Macaca mulatta: one gene and its partners. The protein of the gene in region 2 interacts with the protein of the main gene of each other region in a biochemical or structural test. Links are inferred from orthologs where the notes say so. Each region holds a gene or a part of one and is shown on either strand. Other genes may lie near its edges.

Evidence for each region.
Region 1: the proteins of OIP5 (region 2) and HJURP form a complex in vitro, tested with the Homo sapiens proteins (2 studies listed by BioGRID). The link is inferred for Macaca mulatta from reciprocal best matches to the Homo sapiens genes OIP5 and HJURP.
Region 3: the proteins of OIP5 (region 2) and MIS18A form a complex in vitro, tested with the Homo sapiens proteins (3 studies listed by BioGRID). The link is inferred for Macaca mulatta from reciprocal best matches to the Homo sapiens genes OIP5 and MIS18A.

Annotation. Positions count from the first base shown.
Region 1 is NC_133417.1:139,127,724-139,131,733, forward strand, and holds the start of HJURP (Holliday junction recognition protein), read right to left. Parts: upstream 2,804-4,010; 5' UTR 2,313-2,803; coding exon 2,217-2,312; intron 1,755-2,216; coding exon 1,688-1,754; intron 477-1,687; coding exon 421-476; intron 1-420. UniProt on the Homo sapiens protein: Centromeric protein that plays a central role in the incorporation and maintenance of histone H3-like variant CENPA at centromeres.
Region 2 is NC_133412.1:18,677,395-18,681,474, forward strand, and holds the start of OIP5 (protein Mis18-beta), read right to left. Parts: upstream 2,807-4,080; 5' UTR 2,760-2,806; coding exon 2,438-2,759; exon of another isoform or gene 2,354-2,437; intron 2,180-2,353; coding exon 2,113-2,179; intron 1-2,112. Other genes in the region: NUSAP1 (nucleolar and spindle-associated protein 1), read left to right, coding at 3,156-3,248. UniProt on the Homo sapiens protein: Required for recruitment of CENPA to centromeres and normal chromosome segregation during mitosis.
Region 3 is NC_133408.1:15,067,792-15,072,070, reverse strand, and holds the start of MIS18A (protein Mis18-alpha), read right to left. Parts: upstream 2,804-4,279; 5' UTR 2,769-2,803; coding exon 2,438-2,768; intron 1-2,437. UniProt on the Homo sapiens protein: Required for recruitment of CENPA to centromeres and normal chromosome segregation during mitosis.

The DNA of each region.
Region 1 (4,010 bases), on a different chromosome or scaffold from region 2:
CGCCTCCCCTCATCTCTCTTCCTCCCATTTCAAAACAGGAAGAGAGACATTCTTCTTCCCTAGAAGGAACTGGATTTGGTCTTTTCTGTGAGCCCCTCGCTGGGCTGGCACGTGGCCTTGGGGAGGGTTACCCAGCTGGCCCAGCCTCTGCATGTGTGTTATCAGAGCCCCTCAGCCTGTGACACAGGAAACACAGGGTGACACAAAAGGCCAAACATTACACAGTGCCTCCTTGCACTTGACAAGCTACAGAAGAAACGCTTCTAAATCCTTAAAAACAGAAAAAGAGTATAATCAAGGTGAGAAGTGCCCCGTGGTGGCCTCTGCATAAGCTCAGAGGTTGGGCACACCCACACCTTTATTCACATCAATGCTCCTCCACAGCAAGGTTATGTGGCAATAAAATTTGACACTAAATACCTGGATCTCTCTTTCGTTTCTTTCCTTTATTAGTCTTCCACCCCAAATTCTCAATCCTGAAGAAAAGAAACAAAAATGACCATTGACATAATCCTGAACGCTGAACTTCTGCTCAATCTGTGTTCACTGGAAGCCAAAGTGACAGGCAAAAAAAAGGTACAAAATTAAAACCAAGCCAGGCTTCTGATACCCTGCTGTTGTTCCTCTTTGTAAAGTTTCAGGTTTTTAAGGCAAATGTGTCATTGATGGAACTCTCTCTTACCTACTAGGCAATGGCTCATCAAATTACATCATTAGCCCAAAGAGTTACATGAAAACAAGGAACATATGTGACAGCAACTGTCCTTAAAATACATAAAGAGAGGACAATCTATATACTATTTAGAGGGAGTAAGCACTTTTCGCAGGCAATCTCTACATCCCATATACGGAATGAATGCTTTCTAAGGGCAATCTACATGTTATACAGAGACCTGCCACTGGAATATTTTAGTTTCTGCCTATGTAAACTTTTCACCCAAGATGCGCCTGGATTGCCTATAAAGGCGGAAAGGTAGGATTTCTTTTAATTCAAGGAGCAGATCTTGTGAACCTTTTGTGCCCGTCTGTTTAATGCAACACAGAACGTGCTGTGAGGTTTGTTTTCATTAAGTGATACTGAGTTAGTTATAAAGCTATACGGGAGGAATTGACCCCAGCCAGTGCAAACTGTCACCAGCTATTTACCAAAAAGAATCCACAAGATTTCAGTCCGTTACATTAACTATTAAACGGAATGCCTTCTCCCTATTCAAGTACTTGGAGCCTCAAGGAAGACAGTTACTACTCCAAGTTAAACAGGGCAAACAATAGTCAAAGTGAGTATTGGCAGTGGAGGGTGGGTACTGTTCCCAGAGTTTCACAGGGATTGTACGTAACTGTTACAACACCCCTGCCCAGGAGACATTATTGTCAGCATCCTTCCCATTTCACAGATGAAGACACTGAGACCAGTCCAGCTAAGCAACTGCCCCGAGCTGCCATGGTGTGGAGATGGCCAGCGGGGATGCCAACCCGGCAAGCCGGAGGCGTGCGAGCCAGGAGGCACCTATGTCTCTTCAGGAATTGTTTTAATAAGTAATCCAAGTAATTTACAGGTTTAAGGGCACCAATGTTTTGGTTCCTATTAGGTGAACAATGTTTACTTCCTAAAACAGCAGTGACAGCATTTCAACTACTCCATTCGCACTCTTCACCCGAATACTCAGAAGGCGAGGATGACACTTACCCTGTGGCGTCTCGTAGGTCAGCGTGGCCATTTGCACCACCGGGGTGTCCTCGAAGGGCTGGTTGTACTGTGGAGGAGGAGGGGTTTCCTGTCAGGTCCCAGGGGCCTCAGACCCCGGCGGAGGCGGCGCCAGCCCGCGAGAGGCCGTTAGTCTGGCCGGGGGCGCCCCAATCGCGGTCTCCGCAGCGGAGTCCGCAACCCCGCCTCTCTCGTCCCACTCAGGAGCCCCCCAGCCCCACCAAACCCTCCTCTCTGCACCCGAGCCCCAGTCCCGCTTCCCCACTCCCCGCTCCGGAGGCCGCAGTCTTTCCTCCCCGTCCCCGCTCCGAAGCCTTCGGCGCTGCCTCCTCCTTCCCTCTCTGGAGCCCCCAGCTCCGCCTCCACCTTCTCTCCGCACCCAAGCCCCAGTCCCGCTTCCCCAGCACCCGCTCCGAGCCCTCAGAGCCCCTTCCCTTCCCGTCCTACGTCCCCTCCCAGCCTCACTCCGACCCGCAGGCCTCCCCTCCTGGCGGACCGGCGGGGGCCGCACCTTCTCTATCAGTAGCTGCATGCGCCTCTGGAAGCGGCGGCGACTGGCCCTGAGTTTCTGCAGCAGCGGGTCGTCTTCCACGTCCTCGCTCTCCATGGTGCGCAGCGGACCCAGAATCGTACCAAGCCGCAGACTTAACCGCTACCCCAGCGGCGACCCGGACCGCAGGGCCCGGCGCGCCGCACACTCAAATAAGCGACTTCGCCCTTCCTGCCTTCCTCTCGGTTTTCTATTGGCCAGCGCGGAGAAGCCGGGCGCTGATTGGGCCTTTCAAACAAATTTGCATCCCTCCTCCCGGCCAATCCACGCCCGAGTTTCCAGCCACGCCCCAAGAAGCGTGTCCGGCGGAAGGGAGGGTCGGTCTCCGGTAGCCGAAGTGGGTGGAAGTTGCTACAATGGCTCTGTGCTTGTTAATCAGCGGGGCTGTGCGAGATCCGGTGGGATGCGTGTCATCTCCCGCGCTGTGCACCGGAGATAAGTACGGCCTGGAGATTTCTGCGTGACTTGCTCTAGGTGTCGCCGCCGGGCGGGGGCCGCCTTCCTCACTCGCCCGCCTGGGATCCCGGCGCGGTTTCGAGGGCAGGGGCCTAAGAAAGACAACCCCAAATTACCAACCCAAAAGGAGGCAGGATAGCGAAAGAAAAAATAAGTCTCAACGAATGACACATTTAAAGATGCTGACAAATGCCATACACATCACAAAATCCAGGAAAATACTTGTTTTAACCCACCTTTTCCCCCATGTATTTCTGATTGCATATTCTGCTTCTTCATTGATATTAATCTTGTAATATTTTCTCCAGAGAGAAGAGCAAGATAAATCAGTCTTTAGTATGGCTGATGGAATTTGTGATTGACATCTTAGGAATGTCAATCCTAAGGAAACACAGGGTGACTTAACCACATTTGTGTGCTTGTGCTGATGTGATTACCATAGTATGTGATTGAAAATAAAAGCATTACTGAGCACCAAGAGGTCCCTTAGAGGGGGATCTTCACCTCCTTTCAGCCTGCACGGCAATTCTATCATGATGTCCTGCAGAAATTTAGGTGGGGGTGGGGGGAGCGTGAGAACTTTGGGGCTCATGTAGTGTGTGTGACCACAAAATGTGTTGCGTTGGGCCGGGCGCGGTGGCTCAAGCCTGTAATCCCAGCACTTTGGGAGGCCGAGACGGGTGGATCACAAGGTCAGGAGATCGAGACCATCCTGGCTAACACAGTGAAACCCCGTCTCTACTAAAAAATACAAAAAACTAGCCGGGCGAGCTGGCGTGCGCCTGTGGTCCCAGCTACTCGGGAGGCTGAGGCAGGAGAATGGCGTGAACCCGGGAGGCGGAGCTTGCAGTGAGCTGAGATCAGGCCACTGCACTCCAGCCTGGGCGACAGAGCGAGACTCCGTCTCAAAAAAAAAAAAAAAAAAAAAATGTGTTACGTTGTGCTGGACACAGAGATGTGCTGGCCTGATTCCCCTTAAGATGCCACAGCTGCTGGGGGGCAGTTGGCAGGGGCCTTCAGTTGTCAGCCTATTCTGGGACGATTCAGTTGCAGAGAACTCCCTCACCCAAGATCCTGCTGCCCCAGGGTGGCCCAGCGCCAGTGACTGATCCAGGTGGGAACAGGAAGGCTGTACTATTTCAGTCTGATGGAAGAAAACCCTGGGCCACTTTATCTTCCGAGCTCTCAATTCCACGGAATTGGATGGGGTAACCTACCAATCCTGTTTCTTTCCCTCCCTTCCTCCCTATATAAACATCCTCTCAGTCTTCTCCAGTTGCAGGATCTACACATTTAATT
Region 2 (4,080 bases):
AAAAAAAAAACAAAAAACACATAGCTAAAAAGAAATATTCATGTCAATGGATACTAAAAAAGAACAAATAACAAAATATATTAGGTTTATTGGTAAATGAAGTCCCACACCACACATATAGTAATCTTGTGAATATAGGTAACCAAAAAGCAAACTGTGAAATAAAGTGTCATTAATTTGAAATTCCACGTAGGAATTAATTAGTTCAGACAAAGCACAGTACTTATAAACAAATGTGTCAGTGGAAATTAATTTACTGGGCCGGGCGCAATGGCTCACGCTTATAATCTGAGCATTTTGGGAGGCGAGCAGATCACCTGAGACCAGGAGTTTGAGAACAGCCTGGTCAACATGGTGAAACTCCGTCTCTACTAAAAATACAAAATTTAGCTGGGTTTCCAGAAGGTTTTCAATTTACTTTGCCCATATCCATCAGAGGAATAACTATCTATAGTAGCTATAGATAGTAACAGTAAATGAGCATTGACTTCAACTTAAAGTCATCAGCTGCATTGGCCCCTAACAAGAGAGAAAGCCTGTCCTTTGAAGCTTTTTTTTTTCTTTTTTTTGGATGGAGTACAGTGGTACCATCACAGCTCACTACAGCCTTGACATCCCAGACTCAAGTGATCCTCCCACCTCAGCCTTCCAATTAGCTGGACCACAGGTGCACACTATAATGCCCATCTAATTTTTAAATGTTTTGTAGAGATCGGTTCTTGCTATGTTGCCCAGGCTGGTCTTGAACTCCTATGCTCAAGCAATCCTCCCACCTTGGTCTCCCAAAGTGCTGGGATTACACGTGTGAGTCACTGTGACCAGCTCCTTTCAAGCCAGGTAATACTTGTCCTTTCTACCTATGAAAGTCTGAGATGGCATCTTCTTCCAATAGAAGGCTGTTTCATCTGCACTGAAAATCTGTTGTTTAGTGTACCCACTTTCATTTTCTGCAGCTTCTGCATCAGTACTTGCTGTTTCACTTTGGACTTTTGTTATAGAGAAGGTTTCTTTCCTTAAATCTCAAGAACCAACCTCTGTTTTTTTTTTTAGATAGTCTTGCTCTGTCACCCCGGCTGGAGTGTGGTGGCACAATCACAGCTCCACTGTAGCCTCGACCTCTATGGCTCAAGCCAGCCTTCCTTCTCAGCCTCCCAAGCAGCTGGGACTATAGGTGTGCACCACCACATCCGGCTAAATTGTTTTGTATTTTGTAGAGACAGCATTTCACCATGTTGCCCAGGCTGGTCTCAAACTCCTGGGTTCAAGCAATCCACCCACCTCGGCCTCCCAAAGTGCTGGGGCTACAGGCATGAGCCATTGCACCTAGCCAACATTTGCTACTTTCAAACTTCTGCAGCTTCCTCACCTCTCAGCCTTCACAGAATTGAAGAGAGTTAGGGCCTTGTTCTGGATTAGGCTTTGGTTTAAAGGAATGCTGTGGCTGGTTTGATCTTCTACTCATACCACTCAAACTTCCTCCATATCAGCTTATAACTGGAGTAGCACTTTTAATTTCCATGTATTTGTTTGTTTGATGGAGTTTTGCTCTTGCTGCCCAAGCTGGAGTGCAATGGTGTGTTCTCAGTGCACTGCAACCTCTGCCTCCCGGGTTCAAGTGATTCTCCTGCCTCAGCCTCCCAAAGAGCTGGAATTACAGGTGTGTGCCACCATGCCCGGCTAATTTTGTATTTTTAGTAGAGACGGGGGTTCACCATGTTGGTCAGGTTGGTCTTGAACTCCTGACCTCATGTGATCCACCCACCTCAGCCTCCCAAAGTGCTGGGATTACAAGCGTGAGCCACCGCGCCCGGCCCCATTTTTTTCTTCATATTCACAATTTGGCATGACTTCACATGCCTTCCCAGCTACTCGGGAGGCTGAGGCAGAATGGTGTGAACCTGGGAGGCAGAGCTTGCAGTGAGCCGAGATCGCGCCACCGCACTCCAGCCTGGGCAACAGAGTGAGGCTCCATCTCAAAAAGAAAAAAATCAAACCAACAAAAAAAAAGGAAATGCTGTCAACAGACTTGCTCAACAAGTACATGTCAGTTCCACGCTCCTCAGTCTCATAAAGTCAGGGACTAGAGACCAATCTGTAATTATCAATACGTACCTGCCTTTGAGTGAACCTTCAATGCCAACTAGGAAGGGCGCTTCCAAAACGACGTTATTTGTAACTCCTAGGAACACAAACACGGGTCAGAACTCATACTCTGCGGGCCTTGAAATGGAAAATCTCTCCTCTAGACAGACTCATCCCCGCCATAAATGTCAGGAGACTCCCCAGTTCCCTGCCCCATCCCCAGGCCAAGGAGTTATGTGCTTCCAAATTTTCATTCCGTTTTCTTCCCCAGGTGGTTCTCTGCCACCCGGTGGAGAAGGCGGGAACAACCTCTCGGGCTAGCCTCTGCCTTTCCCGAACGCCTCACTGCACTCACTGGAGAAGACCACGGCCCCAAGGGACCGCGACAGGTCCCAGGCGAGGTGCACCGAGTCGGCGAGCACGGCGTGGCATTGTGCGCACTGGAAAACAGCGCACCTCTCAGGCTGCAGCCAAGACGGCAGCTGCGAGACGGCGGCCGGCTCCTCAGCCCCCAGCCCTGCGGGGCCGAGCGGCGAGGACCCCTTCACCACCTGTGTATCCCACTCCATGGAGGTCGTAAAAGATGCTTCGTCAATCGCCCTCTCAGTGCCATCACAAAAGTCACCCTGGGGCGGCGTTGCACAAGGGGAGCGATGCCGCCGCGGCTGAAACGCCATCTTCTCTCAGCCGGCGCCGTCGTTTCGAATACACGCCAGGCCCCGCCCCAAGCACAGCTCCTGCGTCCTCATTGGACATCGTGGGCAATCCAAGCACTGGAGTCCCAGTCCGCGCACTCGTTACCTGAACCGGCCTTACAGGCCCTTCGGCGCCTGCGTATTCGTGAAGTGTGAGAAAAGCGCGCGACTGTTGGGACGGGAAATCAGCCTTTCTATTGGTCAGGGTTAGAAACCCCGCCTTTGAGGCATTTTCAACCAATGGAAGCGCGGCATTCTTCATTTAAACTGTCTATAAATTTCAGCTTAGTCAAAGTTAAGAGTGGCGCCAGGGATTTGAACCTCGCTTACGAGACTTGGTGATCCATCTTCTGAGTATCACCGGGATTTTGAATCGCGATGATCATCCCCTCCCTAGAGGAGCTGGACTCCCTCAAGTACAGTGACCTGCAGAACTTAGCCAAGAGTCTGGGTCTCCGAGCCAACCTGCGGGTACGACGCTGGCGGGGCAGTTCCCTGGGCGGGCGCGGCGGGAGTAGCGGCCTCAGGGAGATGCGGTGCGAAGGGACCGAGCGGGAAGCCCGGGGACTGAAGCAGCCGTCCCTGCCCCTCGGGCAGTAGATGTGGTTCACGGTGGTCCCAGTTAGAACTCTGATAAACGGAAGAGGAACTGTAGTTTTCACCTCATTTTGAAGCTGGCTTGTCTGGGTGCTCACATGATAAGCCTCTGTTCCGAGGGGTGGTTTGTTGTTTTTCGTTTTTTGTGGTTTTTTTTTTTTTTTTGAAATTACTTTATACCTCTCAGGTCATCGATTACGAAACGCAGGCCCAGAAAGCAGAAGGGGTGTCGTTAATCGTTAGACAATTAAGTAAATAATTGGCTCAGCTTCTAGAAAACCCCACACAGACTTCAGTGATTTGTAATATTGCCGATAATCTCTTGATACTTTATTGATGGACCTGTCAGGGGGAAAGAAAAAATCTACTTTTAGGGGACCACCTCCTTGGGTAAATTTTTATAACTCAGCCCTGATCTAGTATACTCATGTGCTTATTGATGACTGTTGTGGTGATGGTATCTATCAAAACCAGTAAGGTCTTTGACTCCGAGGCTACAAGATGTTAGGGGAATTGGCCGGGCGCGGTGACTCATGCCTGTAATCCCAACACTTTGGGAGGCCAAGGTAGTTGGATCACCTGAGGTCAGGATTTCGAGACCAGCCTGGCCATTAAAAAATTAGCCGGGCGTGGTGGCACACGCCTGTGATCCCAGCTACTCGCCTGTGATCCCAGCTACTCGGGAGGCTGAGGCAGGAGAATCGCC
Region 3 (4,279 bases), on a different chromosome or scaffold from region 2:
GAAAATGCAGGGTCATATTACTCCCCTGCCTAAGCTAGCATAATAATGTACTTACTAGAACAGATTACTACTCTTTAGAACAGACTAAAACGTCTTGCAGTTTCTGGTCTCTTCCTTCCTCCCTAAATCTTATCTTTATTCTCTTTGACCATACTCTAGTCTCAAGGATTTTGCACCAGCTGCTCAGCACCTATCAAAAGCAGAGAGCATGACCAAGAACTGTACCCGCAGCCCAGCTAGCATTCACGTATAAAAACAGGAAAATATTTTCAAGCACATAAACTTGAAATTTTCTTGGAGATGTGGACGTGGGGAGCACTAAAGATTAAGCAAACAACTCAGGAATGAAAAAAGCTATTAAGAAGCTTTCTTATGTTAATGAGTACTGGAGTTGGGGAAAAAAAATTATATAAACATTATAGGATCGGGTGCTCTAACTCACATTGGTAATCCCAGCACTCTAGGAGGCTGAAGCAGGGGATTGCTTGGGGCCAGGAGTTTGAGATCAGCCTGAGCAACATAGCAAGACTCTGTCTCTACAAAACATTTAAAAATTAGCCAGGTGTTAGTTTGTGTCTGTTGTCCCAAGCTACTTGGGAAGCTGAGCTGGGAGGACAGTTTGAGCAGGCATTCAAGGTTACAGTGAGCTATGATTGTGCCACTGTACTCCAGCCTGGGCAACAGAGGGCTGTTAACCCACTATAACCCTATTAAAAAAATAATCTATTAAATAATTAACCCTATTTTAAAAAATCATAGTAAGGCTGTTATGTCTACAACAGAATGTAAATGTACAGAATGTAAATGTATAAACCTTAACAAAATGAAAATAATTAAACTAATTCAAATTGGGTAAGGAAGGAATGGAAATGAATCGGAATTCATGTTTGTCTTTACGGGGGTGGGGGGGAGGGCGGGGAGATGTTAAATCCTATTATCTAAATCTGATTAATCAAAAAGTGTATAGTTCTTTAAACTATGTTTACTATTTTAAAACTACGTTTTAAATTTAAAAACTATTAATATAAAAATTAACAAAAATAATTGCCTTTCTATAAGTAAAGCAAAACAAAGAAAAGAGGCCACATGGTAAAAGATACTATCGAAACAAAGTACAAATAAAATGAAAGATGTAACACCAAACATGTTATTTCTTAAAAAGATGTAAACAAGGTAAACTCATTCAAAGAGCTTTTCCTACTGGATCAAAAATCTGCCTGGTTTTTTTTTTTTTTTTTTTTTTGAGATGGAGTCTAGCGCTGTTGCCAGGCTGTAGTGCAGTGGCGCAATCTCGGCCCCTGCAACCTCCTCCTCCCTGATTCAAGCGATTCTCCTGCCTCAGCCTCCGGAATAGCTGGGATTATGAGCGCACACCACCATGCCCGGTTAATTTTTGGCTTTGGCGAGGGTGGTCTGGAATTGTTGTATTTTCAGTAGAGATGGGGTTTCACATGTTGGCCAGGATGGTCTCGAGCTCCTGACCTCGTGATCCGCCCATTTCAGCCTCCCAAAGTGCTGAGATTACAGGTCTGAGTCACCGCGCTTGGCCTAGTTTGATTTTAAGAGGTGCAAAGAGTTTATCTCAACTTTCAGTTAACTAGGGGGACACTGGTGTGCTCCTTTATTCCCAGTATTACACCAAGGAAAACGTTCCAGAAACGTCGATAAGCCGGTGATGAATTTCTGCCATCGAAACATTTACAGTATTCAAAGAGAGGAAAAACCTCATCTTGAAAAACCACAATCCAAAACAACAGCCATTTTTACACCAATTCAGAAAAAATATGTGAACCACTTTATCCCTAAATACTGTAAAAATAGCAAAATGAGGGAACAGTGGAAAAACAGGTAACTGCTAGGACGAGGATTAGAAACGAATTCCCGCCGCCTTCTGAACTCTTTTGCTACTACGTCCTCCTTCCTCGCCAATTTTGATGAGGTTGGTGGTGCTTTTACGGCAAATTTCCTTCCCTTTCTTCCCCATAGCACTGTGTTCCGTCAGCTCCGCGGCCCTATCACTGGAGACTGTAGAGGTATCCGCTGATACACACAGCCCGCTAATTTCTGTGGGGAGTAATAGTACTGGCTGCACCTCAAGTGCTTACAGTCTAGTTGACCATTTGTTTCTCTTTTTTTAGGGTCTTTAAAAGTGTTATTCTTTGTTGCCCTTTGCTTCTGAGTAATGCTCACGATGATGCTGACTCAACCGCTGCTCTTCTGGGATCGGGGAGCCCAGAACAGAACCAGTCGCCCGAGAACCAAAGTGGAGGGGTGACCCTCCTCCCCTTTTCCTGCGACAGCTCACACTCTCAGACTTTTTGCTCTCAAAGTCCCTGGACAGCGCCAAGGAGCCCCCGCCCCCTCCGGGGCCGCCCCGGTGCGGCACACCTGGAAGAAGGCGACCCCACGCCCCCATGCCCGGCTCGACCCAACTGACAGCGCAGCAGGATGCAGTTGGTGTCCTCCTGGCTGGCCACCCAGCTCAGCGAGTCGCCCAGCGGCCGCCGGCAGCCGCAGCACAGGAACACCAGCGGCCTCTCCTCCGCAGCCCCCGCCTCCTCGAGCCGCGCCTTCTCCGTGTCGGCCACCGACGCGTCTTCGCTCACGGAGCTCCACATGCTCGCCCACTTCTGCAGCAGCTGGTGGCGGCTCGAGTCTTCGGAGAGTCTCTTGCCCAACAGCGAGGAGTCGCTGCCCTTGCCCTTGTCGCCGCACTCACAGCCGCCAGCGCATCCTCTGCTGCACCTCAGGGCCCGAACGCCCGCCATTACCTACAAATCGCCCGCGCCCCAGAGCGCGAAGGGAAAAAAACCCGCCGCTGCACATGCGCGGGGCGGGGCGCGTTGGCGGAGGCCGAGAAGGGGCAAACGCTTGAAGGGGCCGGACGGCGGGCGGCTTCTAGTGCGCATGCGCGCCGTGCGCCCTTGGCCTGGCGTGTTAGTCACTGCGCCTGCGTCAGGTTTTCTAGCCTGAAGAAATTAACGCTGCTGACCTGTTTGCTTGTCTTCCTAAGGATTATTCACCCCTTTCCGTGGGAGGGGCAGCGTCACTGAGAAAGTTACGGGCTGCAAGCCTGAGTGTCTAAGAACCACCTGGCGAGCTTCTTAAACAGATCGCCAGGCTCCATCTTCACAGACTCTGGTTCAGCAGGTAGCAGGTTAGCCCGAGAATCTGCATTTCTAACAAGCTCCTAGGCTTGCCCACGCTGTCAGTATTGGCAGCCCAACCTTTTTTGGGGGATGGGGAGGAGTCTTTCTATGTTGCCAGTCTCGAACTCCTAGCCTTAAGCGATCTTCCCGCCTCGACCTCCCAAAATGCCAGGATCACAAGCGTGAGCCACTGTGCCAGACCACCACCCTTTTTCTTCTTTTTTGTAAATGGACTAATTATAGTTGCATATAAGCGACTCCACTTGCTCCTGGGGGCCTCCTTTCCATGAAGTGGAGAAGGAAGGGGATAGGGGAGCCCCTCGTCACAGGGTCTTTTTGCGCATTGCTATTCCTAGAATGAGACCCTGGGAAGGGCCCCGGATCACTCAGGCTGTCACTGCAAGGAAAAAGTTGAGGAAGCAGCCATGCCCCTGGAAAGCTTGGAAGTGTGCCTGCTGCTTGGATCAAGGAATAATTCGTCCTTGCAAGGAAGAAGCATCCCTTCTTGATGATAAGGACAGATTTCCCCAGCTGCCCCAGAAAGCCAGCCTCTGCCTAAAACACCATAGGTCAGGAGGGAAAGCTGACGGGGAACCAGCCAGCTTTATGCACCGGAGACAGCCTGGTGGCATACCTGGGAAGAAAGCTACCTGCAAGGACCTACCTCTGTTCCCACTACGCGCTGGGTGTCCCCCAAGTCACTGCCTACTTTGCTTGGTTGCATAAACTATTTACGTACTTACAGCCACTAGCAAAAAGCAAAAGCTTTGGAGTCAGTGGTCCTGGTTAACTTACCCCTCCCTCCACAAGGTAGTAACAGTGTAGGGAACTGTGGAAAAGGCTGTTTGCTTTTCCTGAGTCTGATTCTTCCTGGAGTAAATGGAGTCTGTTTCTTCAGTACTACACCAAGTTGTTCATAAGGATCAAGTTTTCTAATATTCATGAAGATACTTTGTAAACCCTAGCACACCATGCTCATGTTAATGAGCTTCTTACTGGAAGAAAATGCTTTAGATAATTTAGGCTTTTTTTTTTCCACCCATAGAATTCCCTTCCTTCCTTCTGCTTTTTTTCCTTTATTTTTTCAGAGATGATGTTTCAGTATGTTGCCCAGGCTGGTCTCGAACTCC